Linked DNA regions of Oreochromis niloticus. Each later gene encodes a partner of the first gene's protein in a complex. Links are inferred from orthologs where the notes say so. Each region holds a gene or a part of one and is shown in the gene's direction. Other genes may lie near its edges.

Region 1 (6,935 bases):
GAAGAGGACCAAGTGTCAAAAGCTAACAGTTTTTTTCCCCCCCTTATCACACATATTCCTTCATATTATGACCCCAAACGACTTTGTTGATAACATCAGTTGATATCATCAGTCTTCATATGCAGCATATCCTATGATGGCTGATGCTTTTCCCCCCAAATGCCACATCAGGTTCCTGTCACAAGGCTCGGAATACAAACTAGAAGCCAAGGTCTGGCTTCATGAAATGAGTTGATAATATAAATAGCCGCGCCGCATCTCTGTCATCGGCGGTGAAGGTTGGAAAAATTGCGGCAAAAAACATTAATTAAGTACTGACAGCTAAGAATGAAATTGGAAAAAAGAAAGATGAAAGGCAAAATTGCCTCATCTGACTGCTTAACAAACCCAGACGCAGGGGTGGAGATATCAAAGACAGACTAGGAGCCTGCACGGGCCATCTTCTAACCGAGCGGATCACTGATGCAGCAACAGATAGAGCAACTTCAAGGGCTGCTGCCAAAGCAAGAGTGATTACACTTGATTATCGCAAGCACTGCATTTTGTACACTATCCTTGATCACTTGTGGGAAATCAAAGGCAATACAGTACTTTATATTCCTATTAGGACACGCAGCTTACATCATTTTGGGATTCAACATTATTTGCCGCGCACAGCGCTTGTGATAAGATTTTTAAATAACCATGCCCTTCACTGTCTAGAAATCAATGATACTGCACACTAAGAATAATTATTTTTCAGTCAGCCTCTGTGCCGGGTTTCAAGAAATTGGGTTAAAATCTGCATGATTCCTGGCTTCTGTTCTCCCGTCTAGGATGCTTCTTCACACAATGCAGCCAGCCTCTCCTTCTGCAGGTTAAGTCTCACCTCCACGTTTGAAACCTCCTAACGAGATTTGGCTTTGATTCTCTCTGCCTTAGGGGAGGAGGAGGAGGAGGAGAACTTGGAGCAAATAAAAACAATGATGGTGTGGTGTCATTCTAAACAGTTGTTCTGATGAATAATTTAAAACCACGCAGGCAGTTTCTGATTCCAGGGTTCTCTAAGCTCATATCCTGGGAGCAAATTAAAATATCTCGTTGAGTTAGCTTGGATTTTCACATGTGGGATTTTATTAAGCTTAGTATGAGTTTAAATTGGTTGTAGTCTACTTAACACTTGAGTCTAACGAGTAGTGATGGGCGGCAGTATCTCAAGAAAACGGATTTACTAATGTTTCAAAATCACACCCATAAAAAAGACCCTCAAAATGTTTTTAATTGTGTGACATGGAAAAACGTACTACATCTGTGCACCACAAATGCAACTTATTATAGGCAATAATTTAAAAAAATGCCATCAATATCACTACATGCTTTTTTAAATGTAATTATAACGACTTAATTAGGTGTACATACAGAGCGCCTCCCACTTCATTTGTCAGATGTGTGTGCGAGAAACATATAATTAAAAGAAAATAACACTCACGAGTACAGGTAATTCTTCTGATTACTGCTCATGCTGGCCATTAAAGAGGTACTCTTTCCTCAACAATGAGGGACAAAGCCTACTTAAATCTAAAACAACTTTAGCTGCAGGTGATCCTTGGACTGTACTGCAAAGCCGACTATTCCAGAAACAGAAGCCCAGGAAAGCCCCCGGACCAGACGGTGTCTCACCCTCCTGCCTCAAGACCTGTGCTGAACAGCTGGCTCCCATCTTCACTCGCATCTTCAACAGATCCCTGGAGCTGTGTGAAGTTCCATCCTGCTTCAAACGCTCCACCATCATCCCTGTTCCCAAGAAACCCACCATCACAGGACTGAACAACTACAGACCTGTCGCCTTGACGTCTGTGGTCATGAAATCCTTCGAACGACTGGTGTTAGCCCATCTGAAGGACATTACAGGCCACCAGCTGGACCCTCTGCAGTTTGCCTACCGGGCAAACAGGTCGGTGGATGATGCAGTGAATATGGGGCTGCATTACATCCTGCAACACCTCGACCGCCCGGGAACTTATGCCAGGATCCTGTTTGTGGACTTTAGTTCGGCTTTTAACACCATCCTGCCTGAACTTCTCTCTTCCAAACTCTCCCAGCTCAGCGTGTCTCCAGCTACCTGTCAGTGGATCACCAGCTTCCTGACAGACAGAAAGTAACAAGTGAGGCTGGGGGAGATCACCTCTGAAACTCGGACCCTCAGTATTGGTGCCCCTCAAGGATGTGTCCTCTCACCACTACTGTTCTCCCTCTACACTAATGACTGCACCTCCAAGAACTCAGCTGTTAAACTCCTAAAGTTTGCAGATGACACCACCGTCATTGGCCTCATTCAGGATGGTGATGAGTCTGCATACCGGCAGGAAGTTGAGCGGCTGGTACTCTGGTGCAGTCAGCACAATCTGGAGCTGAACACTCTTAAAACTGTAGAGATGACACTGGACTTCAGGAGACATCCCCCAACTCTGCCCCCCCTCATCATGTCAGACAGCCCTGTGTCGACTGTGAAGATCTTCAAGTTCCTGGGTACCACCATCTCCCAGGACCTGAAGTGGGAGACCAACATCAACTCCATCCTCAAAAAGACCCAGCAGAGGATGTACTTCCTGAGACAACTGGGGAAGTACAGTCTTCCACAGGAGCTGCTGACCCAGTTCTACACTGCAGTCATTGAGTCTGTCCTGTGCTCCTCCATCACAGTCTGGTATGGTGCAGCCACTAAACAGGACAGGAGCAGACTGCAGCGGACTGTATGGGCAGCAGAAAGGATCATCGGCGCCCCCCTGCCCTCCATCCAGGATCTGTACCTCTCAAGAACCAGGAAACGGGCAGGGAAAATCATCACAGACCCCTCACACCCTGGACACAGACTTTTTGACCTGCTGCCCTCTGGCAGACGGTACAGAAGCCTGCAGACCAGGACCACCCGACACAGGAACAGTTTCTTTCCCCTCGCCATCTCCCTTCTAAACAGTTGACCTGTCACACTGCTCCCCACTGCCAGACTGCAACTGCACCTCATGTACATTTTGTAGTATTCATTCCACCTCATTTCATTTCTGTATTTTATGTACATAAGTTTAGTTATTTATAGTTGGTTTACACAGCTTTGTGTATGTATGTGTATGCATGTGTAATGTATATATAGACGTGTGTGTGTGTGTGTGTGTGTGTTTTACATTGCTGTGCTTGATAGCCACCATCTACCGGAACCAAATTCCTTGTATTTGTCTGCACATATACTTGGCCAATAAACACGATTCTGATTCTGATTCTGAAAAACAAGAACTATCAGCAGGTTTGTCCGACAGGGATTAATCCTAGTCTTAGACTTAAAGATAAATTCAGTAAAGACCTCCATTGGGGACGGGGTATGGTTAGTACTGCATGATCCATTTCTGGGAAACTGAGTCTGTCGGTTGTGACCCAGGTCATTTACTGCATTCACACTAGGAATGCATAATTGTTGGAGGCAGCATGAGTGCCTGTCAGCTTTTTCAGGAATCTGATCAGCGAAAATAGGAGACCATATTCAACCATCAGGTCTGTAATTAGAATTTACTCACCCATAAGTAGTGGAGACTGCTTAGGTGTTTTACTGATAAATCATTGAAATCGTCTATTTATTAAACGATTTTACTCCCCAACAAGCAAAACTGCAGTACTGGCTGCATTAGCTTTAAAAGTGTTTTCTCTGGATATCTCTTTTTTGTTATGTTAAGAGTTGTGTTCATTAATAATTATCGTCAATTACTTAAAAGTGTCCTGTCATGGACGACAAAATTACATTTTTCGTGTGACACCTGAATGCAGCAAAGCGCGGTTACAAATGACACTTTTCTCATCCCCCGATGGACTAACAAAACGGACCAATCAGCCTGCCTTCTGCAGTATCATTAGCCAGTCATTTGCAGAGGAGAACTTGATTGTCCAATCAGAGACAGGGGGAGGCAGCTATACTGTTTGTTGTTTCCTTGCGCCGGACGATGGAAGATGAATGAGGCGCCTAGCTTGCTTTCGGCTCCTAAGTGCAGCAACACTGCATATTAATTTGTAGCTGAAGTAAAAAAAAATCAAAATAAATATATAATTGATCCGACTGTTATTGCGCTTAAACGTAGCTGGAAGGCTAATCGATGCAGAGGTACATTGGTCACAACAAACGGTAGCATGCACGGGAAGGAGTCGCTGGAGGTGGATGCAAGGTTCAAATTTTCAGGTGAATTATTACATACAATACTACACCAAGAAAATAGAAAACTACAAGAAAGAAAGATAGTTTTAGCTCGGAATAGCACAGGGCTTGCTAAAGAAACAAAAACATATCGTTTGATATCTCAAACGTTAGCTAAAAAGGCTAACAGTGATGCTAGTTAGCTGACACACAGTATACATACAAACAGCCAGAGTAAGCGCACTATGTATAGGATACATACGCACACACACACTGTCATGTACAATGTGTGCGTGTGTATATAACACACTGTTATATACAGTGTGTGTGTACGTATGTATACTGTGGTTTATAAAGGAAGTAGTCAACAGTAATATGTCTGTCACACCAGCGTTGGTTGGACTGAGTTATTGTCTGATGTCTATGGGTTGTTAGGAAAACGTCTGTTATAGTTACAGTTGTTCTAAAAGCAATCACCTAAAACTTGTTTGTTTTACTCATACAGGCTGAGGGAAGAGAGCTACCATGAACCCAAGCCTTAACAACTGCATGATGCCCAGCTGTACCAGCAGCAGCATCACTGAACTGCTGAGTGCCCTGTGTGACTGCAGCCTTTCTGGGGTGTCATGGAAGCGCAGAGCACTGGGAGGAGTCTCAAGAGAAAGTTTCCACAGGGCTCTTAAAAAACGCGCCTATGGTGCCCTCCTGTCTAAGCTGTTTCAAGATGGCACCAAAGGACCTGCACCAGGACTGAGTGCCACAGCTAATACACCACCGAGAAATAAAGTCTTGATGATATGTTTTGATTTACGCGTGGCTGGCTGTCGAGAGGAAGCAGAAAGGCTGGAAGAGCAGCTCGGGAGGCTGCCAGAGGGAGAATACTCTGGTTTGAAGGAAGTGGATGCAGTCCTTGACCTTCTTGTGAACCTAGCTGGGTCGGCACCTCCTCCCCCTACCTCGTTCAGCAGGGACTATATGAGAAGAGAGAGGCCTGTGCTGCGGATGCCTCAACCATGGAGCTACCAAAGTGAGGACTTGCAGAGGCTGGAGGCACGGGCATGGGGTCTGGTGTGTGGGGAGGAATGGGGGACTTTGGAGAGTCTGTATGGAACTCAGAGGCTGATGGATGCTCCACCTGGCACAGGACTGCTAGCTTTGAGAACAAAACTAGAAGCAGAAGAAAGATTTGAAAAGGAGACCAGGCTGACACTGTTTGGAGCACTGCAGCACACTCGCACCTCGGACATGGACATAAGACTAGATCTGCCTCCAATCCCCAGTAATATTGATGTAACAGGGTTGGCGATACGAGTAAGACACCATATTATATCCTTAAGTAATGCATTTAGTTTAGCTTAGGCTGTTTTATCACATTTCCACTTCAGCAGCTCAGCGTATTCATATTTGCACAGTGTTTGATTTAAATAATTTATCTTTGCATTGCTTTATGCACTCTCTCTTTGTTGTTCTCTGCAGGTGCCTCCTTGTTTAGATCAGTGTGAAGATGAGGGCTTCCAGTCAGCCTCCAACCTGACCCCAGACTCTCAGTCAGAGCCTAGCCCCATTCCAGACTTTGATATCTGGGAGGCTCTACGCACATTTGAGCCTGGAAGACGCCGCTGCTGGGAGTCTGTTGGCTGGTAAGTGATGTGTCAGTTTGATTATGCTCTAAGGATACCAAACTACTTTTCATATTTAAAAAAAGCAGCTGTAACCCACTAACAGTTGTAAATCTAGTTCCTCACTATAATATGACAGCAACTACCGATTCTTTTCATAGTTTTATTGTTCCGCCTTTTTTGAAATAATTGATGGGTCTGTAAAATGCCAGAAATAATGATAGATTGAATGATAGAAGCTTGCTTACTTTTTTGTAAGATGCCAAGCTAATGAAAATGTAAAAAAAAAAGAAAAGAAAAGAAAAAAAAAAGCATTTTTGAAAAAAATAAACCAGTCTGTGTTTGGGTTTTAAGGTCTAACATAAATAAACATCTAAATGTCAAATGACAACAAAATTTGTGACATATAAATGAACAGAAATCCACTTTAGCTGGTAGATACAGAATTCAAGAGTATCCTGAATTAAACCAAAGCCTTTAGTTTAGAAAATGACATAATGACACATACACTATTAACTACAGAGTCATCAAGGTATTGGAGAGTCCCACTTATTTAGTTTTTTTTTTTGGTTTTGTATTTTTTTTTTCCCTCTGGAAAACGGAACTGAATGCCTTGTTTGTCCCACTAGCCCACCTGGAAAAAGGGAGTCTTTCTATCTAACAGAGGGAGGCAGGGAGGCCTTTGACCAGCTCTATCGGCTTTGGGAGGGTGAAATGAGGGTGGTGAGCACGAGCACACCGTCTCCTGTCCTCCCCTTACCCCTGGACTCCCAGAAGCAACTGGTGTCTGATCTCCTTAACGTCCTAATTGGAGTGGCTTCTACTACTTTTCCTCTCAACCAGGTGCAGTTCGTTATCTTTTATTAGTCTCTAAAATGCACTTTATTTGTTTTTTTTGTTTGTTTTTTAGTAGTCTGTCAGGCAGAAGTGATAAAAGTAACTAAAAGCGCTGTGACAGCCTACAAATAGAAAAACAGATTAAAAGGAGAAGCTGGAATGTGATATAATGGGAAATTCATGCATATAAACAAGCTGTACTGACTCATAAAATGTAACAGTGTGAAGTGTATGCTTAAGTCAGCTGCCTGATTAAATGATCATGAAATAAAATAAAATATTCCTAATTCTGAACATAAAAACCCAGGGGAGCTCTGCTGGTA
Region 2 (7,656 bases), on another chromosome or scaffold:
TAAACACCCTGTGCAGAGGTCCATAAAACAACGTATCCTGAAGCCAGTCAAAAAAAACAAACCTGAACGTAACTTAATGTGACAATAATCCAGAAACTGAATTTAACTATTAGAAACAGAGCGAAGAAATGGCTCAGTCAGCTTTTAATTCATTAGTGGCATTATTCAGCGCATCAGACTGTGATATAAAACAACTCCGTATCAAAACATGATAAAAAAAAGTTTTATAAAAATCATAAATACAGCTCAGATCTGATGTTGCCTGAAAGTCAAGATATATCCAACACCAAATTAAAAGAAAACAAAACTCCCAAAAAACAACAGAAATTGTGCTAGGATCAATACAGCTTTCAGGAAGGTTATTGTTGTGCAAGTTGAATGCAGACTTGATAGTTTGATGCTGGTTTCAAAAGTACAACTGTCTGTGGATTAGACTTCCCTTTGATAACCTGTGATTAAAGAAACTCTGCTTCCAGTCAGGTAACTTGTGAAACCCCATGGTTGTATTCATACCTCATTTAACAGTTAACACAATTCAGTCTAACTGAACATATTTACCATAAATGCTTTAGACATAGTGTAAACCTTGTTGTATTTGATTGCAAAATATTAAGCACATGCTTTCACTAGAAGAAGAATCCCTTTCAATCCATCTATCACTTGGCTCAGTGGTGAGGAAAAAACACCTGAAAGAGAAGAAACTTAGTTTTAATCAAAAGAAGAAGAAAGTAAGGATATACAATGTACACACTAGAGCACACTTCAGGGTTTTCTGTTACACTAACATGGTCGTTGTTTAAAGTGTCTAATCTTAGGTTTTTCTCAGTGAAGAGTTGCTTAAATTTTACTAAATGAATGAAAGAAGTAATTTTTTTTTTTTTTTTTTTTTTTTTTTTTTTTTTTAAAACAAAACTTAATGCTGATAATAACAGTTTTAGGAACAATTAGATCTAAAGGCACAAACTCATGTATCCACATTCTTGTGATTGTGTGTAAAGTCAGTACCTTTACTTTAGTGTGTCGAGTGACTTGGAAGGCATCTTCTGCCATGTTTGAACTGAAGAACTCTTTGCTGTCAAAGTCTTTGTTGGTGCCATCAATAAGACTGACTGCTGAGGTAGTGTTATAACCGCTGTCCACCTGAACACGTGCAAAAAGCCAGTCAATCAGAAATATTCTGTTACCCAAAACATCAATATGAAATTATCCTTCCCGGGGTTAAGCTGTTTTTACAAACCTGCATGCTAGAATCGTAGCGTATGCTGCTTCCTTCTGCCAGGAGAGACACAAACATGTGAGAGTTTTCTATTGCTGATGCATTAACCATGCGAGAGCTGGTCAGCTGCTCGGAAGGCCCCACACCTTCATCCTCCTCATACTCGAGCCTCGGTTCAATTTCTGTCTCTTTGCCTTCCTCCATTTTCACAGGTTCCATTGGGTCCATGCTAACTCTCTCAGTGTTGGTGGGGTGAGAGTCTTGTGTCAGGGGTGATGATGACGAATCTAATTCCATAGAGGGGAAAGAAGAGCGAGTGGCAGAGGGGAGGTGTTCTTCAGCCACCTCATTGTCTGGGAGCTTAGGGTTGAGGATCGGTGAGATGAGGGGAGGGGAAGCCCAGCAGCGGCCTCTAGGTCTGGGCCTGGGTCGAGAAATGCGCTGGGGTTCATTGTGGCAATGGAGCTGGTGTGGGGAGCAGCTACGAATGGGAGAGCAACCCTCAACAAATGGACTCTCACTGCAGGAAGCGACCATGTCCAGGGGGGCACCACGTGGGGTCAAACAGCTCGGCTGGTTCCTCTCAGCTAAAGAAAGAACACAGTAACAATTACTTGCCTTTTTACCAACATTTTGTCTTCTCAGTCACATATTCTTTGTTGGATCATAACATTCCTGAAGCACATCCCCATTCAGAAGATAACGAAGACACATCTGCCTCAATTACCAGTCCTTAATTCAATGTAAAGACCAAATTATATAGGTGTTCTTCTTGCTCCAATGCAACTTATTCTGCATTTTATCATAATATCACCAACTAAATACATGGAGGCATCACCACCATACTCAAAGGATCATGTATTATAGAGGAAGATTTAAAACTACTAGCTGGATGAAAACTGTTGTCATGATAAAAAAAAAAAAAAAAAAATTATATATTTATTTATTAAATACAAAACCATGTCAGTGTGGATGTAGCCTTAGCCAATATTTCTCCAATTTTGATTTGTTTGGATATTAAAATTTTAGTTACAAAGTGTAACTAGTGTTTTAGTTACAACTGTGTACCTGAGCCAACAGGTGTGCGTGCTGCATGTGCAACAATAGGAGAAATTGTGGGGGAGATGAGGCCAGCAGGAGAGGACCTATCACGGAAGAGAGGACTGTCGATGCTGCCAAGGCTACAATCCCGGAAGCGTCCGTGCTGGATGGGACTCGAAGAGAACTGACCCTAAAATAGCAATAGCAATTTTATTTATGTAGCACATTTCATTACGTGTAAACTGCTTAACAAAGAAGATAAAAACCTGTGTAGGTTTACAATCCTTTAAGGCAGCAAAAACACAAAAACAAATCAACAGCAACTATTTAGTGTAAGCCTGGGTGAAGGCTTAACAGTGTAAATGTTCATTTTCCTGTTATTAAAATATTCGTTGAGCAAAATATGATCTCCAGATGCATTTTTTTCTTTTGAATTTTATGCTTAAAATTAAATTGTTTGGGTAACGGTTGTGTATATGAAATCCCTACACTCCTCTACTTACCGTAGAAGGCGTCGGAGCTGACACACCACAGGCCGAAGGGGAGGAAAAGATAGCCGATACAGCTTCTCCCTCAGAACCTTCAACGCAGTCTCCTCTCTTGAGAGATGGCTTTTCCTGACCGGCATTGCCTCTCTCTGGACTTGGAGGGCTCGAGCTGTCTGAGCCACTATAACTATTTTGGCCATCAAGGAATAGTTTTCGTCGCAAGGAGGAGCTGCTAAGACTCTCCTGCACTGGATCACACACTTCTTCATAACGGTAATATTCCCCTGTGAGAAAAAAAAAAAAAACAGAAACAGTGACTTGACAGCAGATTGTTCGATTTTCTTTTTCTCACTATGATCCTGTTGGTGTTTAGTCAAGGTTTACCTAGAACTTTCTCCAAATCAAAAGCCAAAGGCAATGTAAGGGTTGTCTGACATCCAACTGTAGATCAAAACACACAAAGTTATATATATATATAAAAAGTAGGTAAAAGGGGGAAAAAAAGTCAAAACAGGTAAAAAAAAAAAAAAAAAAAAGTAACCAACCTGAAATTTTTTCTGGCTCCTCTGCAATCATTGCAGACATTGAACCTACAACATTAAAAATAAAAGCATTTACAAAACCAGAGTTCAACAGAAATCTATGGATAAAAACAAAATAAATACAAATACAAAACCTATAAGAATTAAGAAGTAACATAAAAGATAAGATAACTTACTACTCTTAGAAATCTGAGGGACTTTACGGGTCTCTGGTGCCGCCCAGGGGGAAGGGACAATTATTCCTTTGGTGAAAAACTTTATTGGAGACAGGATAATGACATCAGTACAAAGGGAATCTATAAATTTTGGGTACACTAAATTCTGTATCATTAGTAAAGGATGAGATTTGGTTACCTGCTCAATAGCATTCTGACGTTTTTCCTCAATGTCCGAATCCGTCCTAAAAGAAAGACCACTCACGTTTGATAGAGTCTTTAATAAGCTCCCCAGGTTTAATACATAGAGGAGGTATTAAAATCACAAAATAAAACAATACATTTCTTCCTCAAAGAATTTCACATTTGTCACAGTGTCAGCCTTATTACATCACTTACCTTGTCTGACTGAGGTAAAAAGATTGTCGCTGAATTTCCTCTGGGTCTATGTGCACTGGTAGGAGACTGGCCATTTCATCAATAGACCAGTTAAACTTAGGTGGAGTCTGGGTAAATTAAACAAGTCTAGAATTATTAAGAGACTACATCAAATCATGAGTAAACGAGTTGAGTAGATGATATGAAGTAAATTTAAAACTTACAGCTTTACAAGGTAGGGACTTGAATACAGATGGACTTGGCACCAGCGGTTCGCGAAGATGGTGATAGTCGTTTGGACTTTCAAAGGGGTTTCTAATGGAGGGCCTGCCTGGAGTCTCTGGAGTGATCTGGATCTCAGCATGGTCCCCCATTTTAGCTGACAAGAAATATCAAAGTCGGGATGACGATAAATGACAATCCAATCACAAAAAGACACTAAAATTATTTCGTGATAAGGCGATTTTTTGTATTATTTTGTTCTACTCTGGTACGTTGGCTACATTACTCCCTCTGTTTCTATAGCGTTAAAAAAAAACCTTCGAAGGAAGCAGCTTTTAAAATGAGGATTTAGCTTCACACATTTCACTTCACCCCTAACTTATTTATACATTTACGCAAGAACTAGATAACGTTTGTCTTACAACTGTTGGTACTTACAATTGTGAATGAGCCGGAACTCTAACAGCAATATTCATTGGAAAGCCAGCAGCAAACAATCAGCAGAGAGACCAGTTCAAACGTTTTTTAATTTCGCCCACAAGGTAGGCTAGCCAATAGAATCGTCGCAGGAAGTTCGCGTAACCAATGAAGAATTTCGTGTCGTCACTTCCTTCAGCACACTTTCGCGAGTAGCGGCAATGAGCGCTGTCAGCTAGCTAGGATCTTATATTGACCTTTACGTGATTGTGCTAGCCTGGTTTTTGCTGATTCAATCTAAATGTATAAGAAACGCCTGAAATCTGGCTGATTTTTTGCGTTGTGTCTCTAAGTCTTAATTTGTCAGCCACTTGCTAGCAAGCGTTGGCTAGCTATAGTCATCCATCACTATGGCCAGTGCAGCAAACGCAAACCTAAACGCAGTACGGGAGACGATGGACGGTAAATATGTAATTACTGCGTGTAGTATTTTGTGTATTTGTATAATAGTTGTAAATTCATCTTAAAATATATATAGTACGTTTTAGCATGTGTGTCATAGCTGTGTCTGTTTTTACCTCCTCCCCCAACAGTGTTGCTGGAGATCTCCAGGTTGCTCAACACTGGCTTGGATATGGAGTCTCTATCCATATGCGTGAGACTGTGTGAGCAGGGCATCAACCCAGAAGCTCTTTCTGCAGTCATCAAAGAACTGCGGAAAGCTTCCGAGTCCCTTAAGGTACAGACACAGCCTCCCTAAAAGCTAATCAGCTCACATTGTACATACATGTAGATACTTTACTGAGCCAACAAGGAAATTATTGTTAAAGCGGCAGAAGGATAAAAATGATATAATCTACAGCATTATTAAAGGTACCACAGGCTTATACTTGATTTCTTATTAGGAAAGGTCTGGATCCAGTCTGGATCCTTTCTGTATGACGTTTTGCATAGTCTCCAGGTACTCACCGTCCCCCCCACAGTCCAAAGACATGCATGGGGTTAGGTTAATTTTGGTTCCAATTTAAACACAGGTCTGTCTGTGTTAGTTTTGCATTCTTTATGAATGCAACTGGCATTAAAAAGAACATGTACACTATAAATCTGAGAAATCACAGGAAGAAGGTTTGATACAGAAATATCTCTGCCATCTAATCTTGTTTCACCTTTTTTCACCAGTTATATAAAGGAGACTTGTAGAGTTTTATAGAGAACAGTAGGAATGCTTTCCTTTATGGCAGCAAAGTCAGCCCTCTGTAGTTTGGAATGGAGTGAGTTAGATGGGTTGTCCATAATGGTAAGCAGTTTATTCAGTGACCTCCTGTCCCTCACTGACTTAAGTGACTCCAGATTCCAGCCAATGATGGTTCCAAACTTGTGGATTAGTTTGTTGATCCTGCTGGCATCTCTGGCACTGATGCTGCCTCCCACTGCTAACTGAATCTGAGCTTAATTAGAAAGTCCGGTCTGCTCTTACCCTTCTTGTACATAGCATCACTATTTATCCTCCAGACCAGTCTTTCATTCAAGTGAACACTCAAGTACCTGTCCACTGTTTTACCATCCTTACCTATGACATTAATGGGCTTCGGCACATTTTTTTAAAAATTTCCTCTAAAAGTCAAACATCATCTCTTTTTCACATTGAGGAAGAGGTGATTTCTGCCAGACCATTTGTTTGAAATATGTTAAATATGCTTGAAACTATGTGTTTAGAAAAATACTTTACATTTAAGTTTTTTTTGTGTAACTTGAACAATTTTCACATTTTTTTTTTAATATCTTTAAGATGGGATATGCATGAAACTGTTAAATGCACATCTAACCCTACTTCAGTGAATAAACAAGTGGTATGTCCCACAGTGGCGGTCACTTGTCTGTGGAATCGGTCCAAGTAGTTAAATTCTTTGGAATTGTTAGCCTGCCTGCCTATCAGATTCGCTTATCAGTTCTCATGGCACTGGAGGAGGAAAATAGTGACACAGTCTACAGCATGGATATAAACAATACTTTAGTTTTAAAAGCCAGTACGATGGTAAATTGCAAACTGCCCAGGACAAAAACAACTGAATTTTGCTGCTAACCTAACTACGGATCTTTACAAGCACCTGCACAGACGACATGCTAACGCTAATCTAGCCAAGAACCCAGAGTGATGTTAAAGCTGAGTGAATGCTGACCCCACCCCAGCATACTTTGTGTTCATACATAAATACTAAAGAAAAATACTAGAGTAAAGATCATATGTGTGTCCTCATTAGGATAGGGATTTGTGTTTGTGTGTGGGACTGTAGCCTATAGGTTTATACTGTTATATAATATGATATAAAATTCTATAATTATGAGACAATGAGTTTCAGGTAATTTTATGGAGAAAACTTTCTCCTGGGAGTAATTAAGCAACATAATCCATTACATTTAAGAAAAGTGTTCTGTGTAATCCCTCAAATATGTAATACCTGTTCTAGTTATCATCACACCACCCAACCGAGTCTTTCCGGACTTATTCAGATGTTTAATTGATGTCAATACAAAAGCGAACACCAGCAATGGCAGTGTGACAGGCTGTGTGTGTGTGAAGTATAGATAACATCTGAAATTTAAGAATGTTTATAAAGATGCAGCCGGGTGTAGGGTGACAGAACCTCTTTTTGCATACCAGTTTTACTGAGATATGCCGACACAAAGTAAGCAAAACACCTGATTTTAAAGCATTATGGGCATATTATTAGATTTGCACAGATATAAGAATCAGTATAACCAAATCTTGAACACAGATTTCCAACCAAGATTATTTTACTCATTGAAAGAGGCTTAACATGTCGTCCAGAAAATAAACTGTGGTCATTTAATGCATATCAGGATATGAAGTACCAGATTCACAGAAGGGGTTTTTATATATATAAAGTTCTCTCCTAACCTGCTGCTATTGGCCCCTTTCAGATATGCTCTGCTGCATCTATAATCTGTTGGCTTCCTGTCTAAAAGACCACCACAGTCAACTTGCAAAAAAAGTAATTACTATAAGTGAGCCTTTGTAACATTTTTTTATTCAAATCTTTCAACAGAAGTCTTACTGCATGCAGTTGCCTTAACAAATAGAAAATGCCATAAACAGTCATAGCACATGCAAAAAGCATTTTGTCCCTTTCACTCATTTCTAATTTTCGGCGTTTCTTGTGTATGTTGCATTTTCT

Evidence for each region. The genes of interacting proteins can lie anywhere in the genome.
Region 2: the proteins of tubgcp6 (region 1) and mzt1 are in contact, whole or in part, in a crystal structure (PDB 6M33), measured with the Homo sapiens proteins. The link is inferred for Oreochromis niloticus from reciprocal best matches to the Homo sapiens genes TUBGCP6 and MZT1. Residues at the interface, in NP_065194.3 of Homo sapiens: Met1, Ala2, Ile4, Leu7, Phe8, Asp10, Leu11, Cys12, Ala14, Leu15, Pro17, Ala33, Leu37, Val40, Ala41, Ala44, Leu45, Asn48, Ile70, Leu73, Lys85, Arg88, Leu89, Leu92, Val93, Glu95, Leu96, Leu104, Leu105, Ser109; in NP_001065243.1 of Homo sapiens: Asn17, Ala20, Val21, Thr24, Val27, Leu28, Glu30, Ile31, Ser32, Ile34, Leu35, Asn36, Thr37, Leu39, Glu42, Thr43, Leu44, Ile46, Cys47, Arg49, Leu50, Cys51, Glu52, Gln53, Ile55, Asn56, Pro57, Glu58, Ala59, Leu60.

The regions. Positions count from the first base shown.
Region 1 is NC_031972.2:47,194,030-47,200,964, forward strand, and holds the start of tubgcp6 (gamma-tubulin complex component 6), read left to right. Parts: upstream 1-3,920; 5' UTR 3,921-4,201; intron 4,202-4,661; 5' UTR 4,662-4,681; coding exon 4,682-5,467; intron 5,468-5,632; coding exon 5,633-5,796; intron 5,797-6,404; coding exon 6,405-6,618; intron 6,619-6,935. UniProt on the Homo sapiens protein: Component of the gamma-tubulin ring complex (gTuRC) which mediates microtubule nucleation.
Region 2 is NC_031978.2:13,425,682-13,433,337, reverse strand, and holds the start of mzt1 (mitotic-spindle organizing protein 1), read left to right. Parts: upstream 1-4,645; 5' UTR 4,646-4,869; coding exon 4,870-4,921; intron 4,922-5,052; coding exon 5,053-5,198; intron 5,199-7,656. Other genes in the region: bora (protein aurora borealis), read right to left, coding at 666-686, 1,006-1,140, 1,238-1,803, 2,285-2,447, 2,761-3,029, 3,130-3,186, 3,291-3,335, 3,464-3,542 and 3 more. UniProt on the Homo sapiens protein: Required for the recruitment and the assembly of the gamma-tubulin ring complex (gTuRC) at the centrosome.